Linked DNA regions of Lonchura striata. The protein of the gene in region 3 interacts with the protein of the main gene of each other region in a pairwise test. Links are inferred from orthologs where the notes say so. Each region holds a gene or a part of one and is shown on either strand. Other genes may lie near its edges. The genes, in order: NAV2, DDX17 and RBM15.

Region 1 (3,744 bases), on a different chromosome or scaffold from region 3:
TCTTGTAGTGAGGGATAAGTCAAAGCCTTGGCTGGCCACTGTGGCATTGTATGTCCTGGTGCTGGGCAGTCTCGAAGGCATCGCTTGGTGCCGTGATTCCCAGAGGGATGATCAACCTCCCGCTGTCCTGCAGGTGTGGCAGGAAGGGAATAATGCACCTCTGGAATGCCACAGGATGAACAGGAACGCGGGCTCCGGGGCTCGGAACGGGTCCTGGCATCCACCGAGCGGCGTGAGGCGGAACCTGCGGCACTGAGAGCCTCCCCAAAGCCAAGTGTTGCTATAACAGGGCCGTATTACTCACTGTGCTTATTCAAATTCCTGTTGATGCTGGCAGCGGCAGTTTTTTTCCCGAACGGCCACGAACAATAAGTCACTTCCAGGTGTTTTGATTTGAATTTTTTTTTTTTTTTTTTTTTAAATTTCAAAAAGAAACCGGTCCCCGGCTCGCTCCGTGCCGCGCCTCCGGAGCATCCATCCATCCATCCCTCCAGATCCCTCCTCCCCACAGGTCTCCCTGCTCGCCGCGGGAGCCGCTCCTCCCCCTGCGGAGAGAGGGAGCGATTTCTTGAGTATTTATTTATTTATTTAATTTTTTTTGTGTGTGTGTGTGTTGCTGCTCGGAGCGGGCAGGACCAATCCGGGGCCCGCCCTGCCCGCTCGGTGCCGGGCAGCCGCCGCCTCCCGCCCGCCCGGCTGGTCCCGGCCCCCCCGGGATGCTCCGGGAGCCCGCTCCACTGCGGGAGGGAGCATGAGCTGCATCGGCTGCCGGCTGCTTTCCCTTCCCTCTCGCTGCTGAATCGCTTTCATTTTTAATCTCTTTTTTTCTTCTTTTTTTTTTTTTTTTTTTTTTTTTTCCCACCCCTACTCCTCGCCCCGTCCAGGTTTTTATGCTCAGCACTAGGGGAGCCGGGAAATTTTGTGGCCGCTGACATATTTTGGTTTAAAAATCGCTGTCAGTGGACGTTTCTCCTTCTGCTCCGGCATCGTTGTCCTGTTCACAGCTATTTAGGCTTAAGAAGCTTGATTCACTAAGGCTTGTATCCAAGGGCATCAGTCATTAACACACTGAGCTACATCTGCTTCTTGGCTAAGACTGAAGAAGGACATCTTAAGCTGGAAATCCTGCTCGCTCACTCTCTAGTGCGTACGGAAGGGGAAGCATATGCAGCAGCAGGTTCCTTTTTTTTTTTTTTTTTTTTCCCCCAAAGGCTGCCTCACTTTGAAGATGCGGTGACAAGATAATGGAGTGAAAGTCTTTCATTTCCAGGCAAGAAAATTGCAGGAGTCAGAGAGAGGAAGGAGCAAGTTACATAGCAGAAATAGGAAAGAGGACAGTGGTAAAGAACTGAAAATAAAATTAGAGGAAACAGGTGGAAGGCTGGCATAAAGCTGAGAAATATTTTAGACTGAAAGTGGTGTGTTTTTTCTTCTTTTTCTCTTTTTTCCTTTCTCTTTTTTATTTTTTTTAATTGGTTTTATTGTAGATTTTAAATTCTAAGCTGATTTTGGAGATCTCTGCAGTAACCAGGCTGCTTTACAGCAGAACAGCTTCCCCAGCGTGTCATTTTCTCTCTCCCTGCCTGCTGTCTCTGCTGTTGCTGCTGCTGACAGAAACGTGTTAGGAAAGCAGAAAGAGAAAATGCCAGCCATCCTGGTAGCCTCCAAAATGAAATCGGGACTACCTAAACCCGTACACAGCGCTGCTCCAATCCTGCATGTCCCAACGGCCAGGACCATCCCACAGCCCTGTTACCTGAAGTTTGGGAACAAGGTGGAGGTGACGAAGCCATTGTATTCCAGCCAGATTCCTCTCAAATCTTCCAATGGACAAGAAAACGCAGGAGACGGCCTCCCAGCAAGGAAGAGTAGCTCGGTAGAAAACGGATTTGACACACAGGTTAGCAGGCACCAAATGCTGGGGAGGTGTATGTGAGGATTTATTTCTGTGTTGAGAGTGTGCAGCAGGTTTTCTAGGGTAAATAGCATGGAATTGCGAGGAAGGGATGTGTGTGTGTGCCAACATCTGTCTGCAGCGGTGGGATGTTTTATATTCCACACAGTGGCATGTGTGATTCTGTCAGCATGATGGAGCTGGTGGTGGGGTGCTGAGGGATGGGGCTGCATGTGCTGCTTGCCCGTGCTGCCTTCTCCATCATCTCTGCTTGAACTGGGGGGGATTTACAGGAGGGAGATGGTGGAGATGTTGTTTGTGGGGTGTGTTCTTTGTGTGCTTTCTGTAGGTGCTAAGCGTAAGGGCTGGCTCGTGTGCCTGGGCTGGGGGAGGATTGCTGGTTGTCACAAATGGGTTTTGTGTTTGGTCATGTACTGTACCGCAGCACTAGTTGTGTGAATGTTCTGTGTTTGTAGCTGTGTGGGGAGTGAATGGGAGGCAGTGCTTGATGCTAGATTACAATATGCATGTCATTCAGTGCAGTTAAATTAAACAGATTATGTAGGAAAGCAACACTTAAGTGGAATTGCCTGTATAATGCTATATGTGCACGACATCATAGATGCAGCACATCATCAATGCACACATTTTAGGTTTCCATTTAATCTGTGTCAGCCTTCTAATGTATTTTTATATGTGCTGCTTGCTGTAGAGGGAGGAGAGATGCCCATTGCTCAGCTGGCTTAATTTCTGTGGGCAGGGTGAGGTTGGCAGCGTGGCTGGGGCTGCCCTGCACTGCCCTGCCCTGGTGAGCTCCGCAGCAGCGTGGGCACAGCAGCAGCGTGGGCACAGCGTGTGTGTGACCGTGCCACGGAGGGAGCAGAGCAGAGGGGCTGCTGCAGCAGCCACAACTGATTGCTGTGCTCCAGAGATGGCTGTACAGCCCTGGCATGTATTTTGGCAGCAGCTCTATGCGTTACACGCTGCTGCCGCCAATGTCTGAGCCGGTGGAAGGTGATACCATTATGCAGAGAGAGGGAAGTGATGGCAGAGACTCCCCTGGTTTTTTTCCTTCTTTGAGGAATAATGGATCATCCCTACCACCTCGATTCTGAAATCTGTGGCCTGGTAACCCTGTTCCCTTCAGACAAGTGTGCCAACTGATTGGGCACGTTTGACCGCGTGCCCTGATTTCGGGATATGCTGCGCTTTCCTTGCTGGTAGACAGGGTGACTATGGGGCTGCTCAGGCCAGACAGATGCAGCTGGAGCAGTTCCTGAGGGACTGAGAGCAGGAAAAGGAGACAGCCAAGCATGGATCCAGGCTAGTGTCAGCAGACAGACCAACCTGTCTGCCCTTACAAGATAATCAATTGCTCTCTCTCACTTGTGCCCGAGTCTATCCTTGTGATTATGAAACGTCAGCAAAATCTCTTTATTTGCTGCCCTTTCTCTCACACATGCCATGGTTTCTGCATGGAAATCTATATTGCTGGAAAAGTGGTTGTTATTCAGAAATACTTTCGCCTCTTTTAACAGATCATGCTCCCAGAGATCTGCCAGTGGGAGCTGTTTGCAGCACTATGGTGGTTTTAACCCTTACAAGGATGTGGAACAAACCCCATTTTTTGTAGCCTGATGATGAAAGGGTCTTGATGCTAACTTGTTATATGTGAACAGGGAAAGATTTTGGCTAAGGAAATGTCAGATAATTTTACATTTTTAATTTCTTCAGCAGCAGGAAAAATCTTAAGCTTTGCATTCTCAGTAACCTCCTCTGGCTGGCAGTCTGAGCAGATGACCAGCACCTTTTAAGGTGTGACAGTGAGGCTTTTTTCACACAGTCATTTT
Region 2 (3,744 bases), on a different chromosome or scaffold from region 3:
GCTGGGTTTGGCTGGGCTAACCCCACCATCTCCTTGTGCCAGGACACACTGACTTGGCAATACCGCATACACAACACAAAAGGATTTATGGTCTGTGCCACGTAATCGCCTCGTGGATGATTCTGCCTTTCAGCGAGGAGTCTCTGGCTCATGTGGGGAATTCTGCCGCGGCCTGCCGGCGCTCAGGCGACAGCAAACATCATGGCTGCTGTCACTCTGCTCCTGCCCCCGCGCCGCGCCGAGATCCCCCTGCTAATCTTACAGGGAATAACCTCGGCCGCCGGAGCCGCCACAGAGGTCCAAAGGGCCGCTCCCGCCCCGTCGCCCAGCGTCCCATTATTGTTCCGCCATTGTCCCATCATCGTGTCCTCAACCCCGCCGCCACCTCGGCGGAGCCCGTGGGCGAGAAGGCGACGGGCCGTATTCTTCAAACCGTCTGCGAATCCAGCGTAACCCTCCGGCCCAGCCTGCACGGTCCGCGTAAGAATCCTACGCCAAGCGCACCGGGCTCTTCCCGCCCTACGCTACCCTCAGTTACGCACCTTACGTACGCCGTGCACTTACGTAACGTGCGCCTCGGCCCAGGTATTCTCTGCCCTGCAGAAGGGGTTACGGAGAGCTCCTTACGCAGCTGACTTTGGGGAATAGCGTTACTCCTCCCCTCCGCCTTCCTCACGCGGGGCCCCGGCTCTAAGTAAAGAACGTTACGCACCTTTCGTAGCCCGCCTGCTACTGCACGGGGCGGTGTTTCGCCGAGCGCGCTTAGTGCGTAGTTGAGTTCCGAGAATAGGCGTAGGTGTTTCGGAGGGCCGGAGTTTGCGCAGCGCCAGGCTGCCCGTAACGTAAGCGGAGCGGGCCGGGGCGGCGGCGGCCATTTTGTGCCGGGAGCGCGGAGCAAGAAGACGCTGGTGTCGCCACACTACCCGGGCCCTGGAGCCGACCGAGAGCCCCGCCGTTCCGGCCGCTGACGCCCAGCGGGTCTCGGACCCTCTGACCACCTCTTCTCCTTTTGTGTCCCACCAAAGAGGCGAGGTGGCGCAAAGCGAGGCCTCCGAGGCGCAGCCGCCCCTGGCTGGACCCTCGCCCCGTACCCCCAGTCCCTCGCCGTCCCCACGGCCGGCGTTCCGCTGCCTCTCACCCACCCCTCCGGGGGCGATGAGAGGCTTCGGGGACCGGGGCCGCGACCGAGACCGCGGCGGGTAAGGGGGAGGGGGGGTCGGCACGGCGGGGGGCGGTGGGGGAAGCCGAAGGCCTGCGTTGGGGGCGGGGTAGGCCGAGGGGTTCGGGGGGTGTGTTGGAGTGGCGGTTTTGGGGGAGCTAAAATTCCATCTGTGGAGATTTGCCCCCCTGGATTCTCGTGTGGGGGCGGGGGTAGTTGGAGGCTTATCTGTCCCCAAGGCGAGGTGGTGGGTTTTGAGCGTTTTACGGGTTTTTAAATTATTTGTTTTATTTAGCTTTTCCACCGTCCATGTGTAACTAGTTCTGAGCCTTGCTTGCAATTTTAAGGCCTGCATCCACCCTGCCCCCTTAATTATTTTCTGCCAGCCGCCTTATTTACCCGGCGGGACCCGTGGCACCCTCCCCGCTGCGAGCCACGAAGGTCTCGGTGGCCCTGGCAGGGCTGGTTGTCCTTCTGTCTGCCCTTCTGGTTGTCATTGCTCCTTCTGGACTTACTGGAAAGATGGCAGAGGGGGGAAGATCTGTCTCAGCTGCGCTCCTGGGTTTACCGTGATAGGAAATGGGATTGGAAACGCTGCCCTTTGGGGGACTTGGGCACTCGAGCGGGTGATCTCGGTGAGCCATGGTGCTGGACCACACTCGCCAAGTTTACGTAGTGCTACAGCAATTGTTTGTGTGGTTCTGTAAAGGCCTAGTGCTTGATACTCTTGAATCTGTTATTTAAAGAAGGTTTGGCTTGCAAAAGGCTTTTGCAGGTTTGATTTGATGTGATTTTTTTTCTTTTGACAATGACAGCAGTAAACACAATGGTGTTATACTGCGTAACTAGAGTGAGTTTCGAGCTTTTTAAGCGTTGACAGTAATAAGGCATTCGTGCCAGGCCTTTTTAAAGAGAAAGTTAGAACTAATTTCTGAGAGTGGCATTTTCAGATCATGAGTAGTTCTCAAGGTTTAGCAAAAAAATATAATGTGGGTTCTGCTATATAGTAAGCTAGATCTCAATTAATGAGTCTTCTCTCCATTTTTTTCCTTTTTTTTTCTCTCCCACTTCCTTTTCCTCGTGTTTTCCCTTGCCACTGGCAGATTAAAGAATATTTTGCTATACATTGCAATGCACTTTGACATTCGGTTTCTTGTCAGCTGTGGAGGGAGATAGTTGGATCATTGCTTTATCTTACACCGACATTTAACATCCTGAAATTAAAAGATACTTTCGGTCTTTTTTTTTTTCACAGAGAGGAGGGTTCTGGTGTTTTTCTGCTAAGAGATTTCCAGCTCAGTTTAACACAAGGACATTGGAGTAAGCGCTTTGGCAAGTCTGAGATAGATCAGACCACAGCTGTTTTTGGAGTTTAGTGAGTGAGTTTGAGTATGCAGATTTATATACAGTTACTTATAGAACACTGGCCAAAGCATTGCCACAACACTTGATGTGCCTTAAAATTAGTGTTATTTCATTTTCTGTAAAGTCTTTAATTATAGTGGCTGCTTCTCTTTTAGGTCAGGGGTTTTGCATGAGTAAAAGAAGTGCTTCCATGATTCTTTGTGAAGTCTGTGGATATTTGCATGAAAAATTTTTTTTTTCTTTTTTTTTTTTTTTTTTTTTTTTTTTTTTTTTTTTTTTTTTTTTTTTTTGCATATTATCCTGGAACCTTTAATACATTAGGATTCAATTTGTTACATACATCCCTTTAAGTTGTGAAAATATTTGTAACCACTAACAACTATCTTACTTCATAAATAACCTGTATAAAATATTGGGCCTCCCAGTGTGCTGGTTCAGTACCTTATGAAAGTTTACCACCACTTCTTTTGTAGTCTAATCACATAAAAGGGTTCTAGTTTTCTCTTGTCAGGAATGAGCTGTACGTGACTTCTTAGGAAAATTATGTTTTCCTCTGGAATGTGTCAGATTTACTCAGTTCTGTCCCAGAAGTGATGGCAGTAGTAATATTAGGGAAGAAAGTTTTGAGCCACCCTGAATTTACCTTTGAAAAGAGGGCTGTTGGCAAACCAGGGAAATACTAGATTTAAGTCAGTTTAATTTGAGTTGGAATCTCTTTTTACTTGGAGTCAGAATGTGAAGTGTCAGTTACTGCCAGTTTAGCAACTGAACCCCCACAGAGTCAGGGTTCAAGGGCTGCTGTAGGGTTCCTTCCTTTTCCTTTCAGGTCAGGATTCAGGCATATTGTGTGTTAGAGTGGAGAACTGAAACTATGTGACTTCTGTGTAGAATATGTAGTTTTTTTTTCCCTCTGGATAGCTTTAGAGCATGTGTTCATAGTACCCAGCTTTTAGCTTTTGCAGTGTCCAGTCTTGCTGGCAGCCCAGTCGTATGTTTCCTTTTCTAAGGAAACTCATCAACCCTTTGACCCTCTAGTGGACTTGAGTGAGTTTGGGGTTTATGGGTTTTGTAGGAACTGCTTGGGTACTGACATTTTTGACATTTTGACCTCAGTTTAGCATGATTGGTAACAAACATCATCACTAAAGGTGGATGTCCCTGTAAATGAAAGTCTGCGCCTTTTTTTTTTTTTTTTTTCTTTGTCCTGAAAGGAAACACAA
Region 3 (3,744 bases):
CACAGGGATTATGGAAGGATCCTCACAAAACACAGGGATTACGGAGGGATTCTCACAAAACACACAGATCAGAGGCGCTCCTGTTCCACGGGAGCTGGAATTCCCTGAGGCCTCCTCACCTCAGACCTAACCCGAACTCATCTCCGAGAGCCTCCGAGCTCCAACTCCCCAGGGAAACATGGCGAGAGCAGGAATGTACCAGGATAACCGCTGTGATGTGCAGCTTTAAACGGGAAATATCTCAAGAAACGGTTTGCTGGCCCGGAGCAGGAGTGCCCGTGTTCTCAGGCAGTTCCTGCAGGTCCGCAGGGCTCCAGAGCCGGCAGAGCAGCGCGGGGAGCCGCAGCCTCATGCGGGCTGCACAAGCAAACAGGGAGAGCGTGAGGCAGGCACTGAACGCAGCCGAGCTCCCCTCGCTCGCCCCGCGGTGGGTTCAGCCCAGCCCGGCGGGCGCACTGGCGGGCTGAGGACGGACACACGGAGCACCGCCGCACCTCCGCCCCGCACCACCGCCCGCCGCGCTCTGAGCCCTCAGGCACCGCCGTACCGCGAGCTCTGCCCGGGGACCGCCCCCCTCCCCGCGGCGACCAATCGGAGCCAGAACAAGCCTGAGTGATTTTTGCCTTAGCCAATCAGCACTCTGCCTGTCTGCGCCCAATCAGACGCCAGGGGACGTTTTCTCGCCCAATGAGAAACCAGAAACAGAGTTGCGGGAGCGGGGCGCGCTCCTTCATGAGCGGCGTATGGATCAGCCAATCACATCAGTGCGATGGGTTGCTAAGTGACCAATGAGGAAAGGGGGCGGGGGCAGAGCAACTCGCGAGAGTTTGAGGGGTGCGATGGGAACTCGCATCTAAGCGGGAGAGCCAATGGCACAGGGCGAGGCGGGGCCGCAGAACGATTATTGTAACTGGCGGCCAGGAGAGCCAATCAGCAGGCAGAGCTAAGTTCGGCCCATTGTTCAATGGGCAGCGAAAATCCTCCCATGGTTGAACAGCCACGATTGACAGGTAGCACCATCCAATGAGATCGCCGCGCCCTTTCTAACTGCCCAATGAGCGAGCGGGGCTGGGAGGCGCGCGACGGCGGCAATTCCCGCCCCCCCCGCGGGAGCACGGGGCTGGCTGGCAGACCGACAGCGCGGCGGACCAATGGGAACGCGCAGCGCCAGGAGGTGGGCGGAGCACCCCCGCAGCGGCGGCCAATGGGCGAGGGCACCGCCCTGGGCAGCCAATGGGCGCGGGGAGGGCGGCGCGCGGTGCCGGCGCGGCTCCAAGATGGCGGCGGGTGCGTGAGCGGGGCGGTCGGGGAGGCCCGGCGGGAGCGCGGCCGCCGCCGCCATGAAGGGCAAGGAGCGCTCGCCCGCCAAGGCCAAGCGCTCCCGGGGCGGCGAGGACTCGGCGTCCTCCTCCTCCTCCTCGCGCGGCAGCAAGAAGCCGAGCGGCTCGTCCGGCGGAGGCGGCGGCTCCAACGGCGGGAAAGCGGCGGCGGCGTCCGGCGAGAGCAACAGCGGGAGCGGCCGGCGCGGCGCCCACGCGGACAAGGGCGGCCGCGCCGGCAGCCGCGAGTACGAGACCGGTTCGGCGGCGGCCGCGGGCGGCGGGGGCCGGCACGGCTACAGCGGTAAAACCGCGGAGGCGTCGCGAAGCAGCAGCAGCCGCGGCGGCGAATCGCGAGCGGCCGCCGCCGCCTCCTCCTCCTCCTCCTCGTCGGAGCCGGGCGGCGGCGAGTACAAGACGCTGAAGATCAGCGAGCTGGGCTCGGCGCTGAGCGACGAGGCGGTGGAGGACGGGCTGTTCCACGAGTTCAAGCGCTTCGGCGACGTGAGCGTCAAGATCAGCCGGCTCCCACCCGGCGCCGGCGCCGCCGACGAGCGCGTGGCCTTCGTCAACTTCCGGCGGCCCGAGGACGCGCGCGCCGCCAAGCACGCCCGCGGCCGCCTCGTGCTCTACGACCGCCCGCTGAAGATCGAGGCCGTCTATGTCGGCGGAGGCAGCGGCCGCCGGCGCAGCAGCCGCTCCCCGGCGCTGCTGGACAAGGAGTCTCCCTACGGCGCGGCGGCGGTCGGGGCGGTGGCGGCCGCCGTGCGGCACCCGCCGGCCGGGGCCGCGCAGCGGGCGCTGTCCCCCGCGGGCAGCGGAGGAGCTTTGGGCTACCGGGACTACCGGCTGCAGCAGCTCGCCCTGGGCCGGCTGCCGCCGCCGCCGCTGCCGAGGGAGCTGGAGAGGGAGCGGGACTACGGCGGCTTCTACGAGGCGCGGGTGCGGCCGGCCTACGGGCTGGAGCGCGTGGCCGGCGTGGCGGCAGCCGGGGGATTCCGCGGAGGAGGAGGAGGAGGTGCCGGAGCGGCCGCCGAGGAGGAGATCAGCCCCGAGGATGACCAGAGAGCCAACCGCACGCTGTTCCTGGGCAACCTGGACATCACCGTGAGCGAGTCGGACCTGCGGCGAGCGTTCGACCGTTTCGGGGTCATCACTGAGGTGGACATCAAGAGGCCGGGGCGTGGGCAGACCAGCACCTATGGGTTTCTTAAGTTTGAGAATCTGGACATGGCGCACCGGGCCAAGTTGGCCATGTCGGGGAAGGTGCTGCTGCGCAACCCCATCAAGATCGGGTACGGGAAAGCCACCCCGACCACCCGGCTCTGGGTGGGCGGCCTCGGGCCCTGGGTGCCCCTGGCTGCCCTGGCCAGGGAGTTTGATCGGTTTGGCACCATCCGCACGATCGATTACCGCAAAGGGGATTCCTGGGCCTATATCCAGTACGAGAGCCTGGACGCGGCGCAGGCAGCCTGCACCCACATGCGGGGCTTTCCCCTGGGGGGGCCGGATCGCCGGCTCCGCGTAGACTTTGCCGACACAGAGCATCGGTACCAGCAGCCCTACCTGCAGCCCCTGCCCTTGCCGCCCCCGGCTCATTACGAGCTTGTGGCGGAGGCGGCTGCTTTTGGGGCTCACCGGGGAGCCCCCCCTGACCCTCTCCGGGGGGCCCGGGACAGGACGCCACCGTTGCTCTATAGAGACCGTGACAGAGACCTTTATCCTGAGACAGAGTGGGTGCCCCCGCCGCCCCCTGTGCGGGATCGGAGTAATCGGGCAGCTGCCTATGACCCACTGGAAAGCCTGGAGCGCCGCCGGGATGGGTGGTCCTTGGAGCGGGACCGCGGGGAGAGGGAGCTGGGCAGTAGCAGTAGGGATCAGCCTAGGAAACGGAGGCTGGCGGAGGATGGAGGCCGGCACTTGGACCGTTCCCCTGACAGCGAGCGCTCCTCTTCCTCCCGAAAGCGCCACTGCTTGGCCACAACCTCTCCCCCGGACCGCAGCCCCGAGCTCCTGGGAGGCCGGGAGCGTTACAGTAGTGACCCTGAGCGCTCGTCCCGCTTGCTCCTCTTGGAGCGACCTTCCCCCATCCGGGAGTCCCGCCGGGGCAGCCTGGAGCGGGGGCAGAACGAAAAGCGCGACCGCAAGAACTCCGCAGAGCGGGAGCGCAAGCACCGCGCCGCCGCTGCCGCCCAGGAGTGCAAAAGTCCGGCCAAAAAGGACGAGCGGGCGGCGGATGGAGGTGGCGGAGGCTCCCGGCTCAAACCTCCTCCCCAAAAACAGCAGCAGGATGGAGCAGCGCAGGCTGGGGCAGCGCCCAAACTGTGCCTGGCTTGGCAGGGGATGCTCCTGCTGAAGAACAGCAACTTCCCGTCCAACATGCACCTGCTCCAGGGGGACCTCGGAGTCGCCAGCAGCCTCCTCG

What was found.
Region 1: the proteins of RBM15 (region 3) and NAV2 interact in binary tests that used the Homo sapiens proteins (3 or more experiments, as listed by UniProt). The two-hybrid records come from large-scale screens. The link is inferred for Lonchura striata from reciprocal best matches to the Homo sapiens genes RBM15 and NAV2.
Region 2: the proteins of RBM15 (region 3) and DDX17 interact in binary tests that used the Homo sapiens proteins (3 or more experiments, as listed by UniProt). The link is inferred for Lonchura striata from reciprocal best matches to the Homo sapiens genes RBM15 and DDX17.

Annotation. Positions count from the first base shown.
Region 1 is NC_134608.1:57,025,062-57,028,805, reverse strand, and holds the start of NAV2 (neuron navigator 2), read left to right. Parts: upstream 1-841; 5' UTR 842-1,642; coding exon 1,643-1,900; intron 1,901-3,744. UniProt on the Homo sapiens protein: Possesses 3' to 5' helicase activity and exonuclease activity. Involved in neuronal development, specifically in the development of different sensory organs.
Region 2 is NC_134607.1:23,793,764-23,797,507, reverse strand, and holds the start of DDX17 (putative ATP-dependent RNA helicase DDX17), read left to right. Parts: upstream 1-869; 5' UTR 870-1,155; coding exon 1,156-1,199; intron 1,200-3,744. UniProt on the Homo sapiens protein: As an RNA helicase, unwinds RNA and alters RNA structures through ATP binding and hydrolysis.
Region 3 is NC_134632.1:1,367,155-1,370,898, forward strand, and holds the start of RBM15 (RNA-binding protein 15), read left to right. Parts: upstream 1-1,340; coding exon 1,341-3,744. UniProt on the Homo sapiens protein: RNA-binding protein that acts as a key regulator of N6-methyladenosine (m6A) methylation of RNAs, thereby regulating different processes, such as hematopoietic cell homeostasis, alternative splicing of mRNAs and X chromosome inactivation mediated by Xist RNA.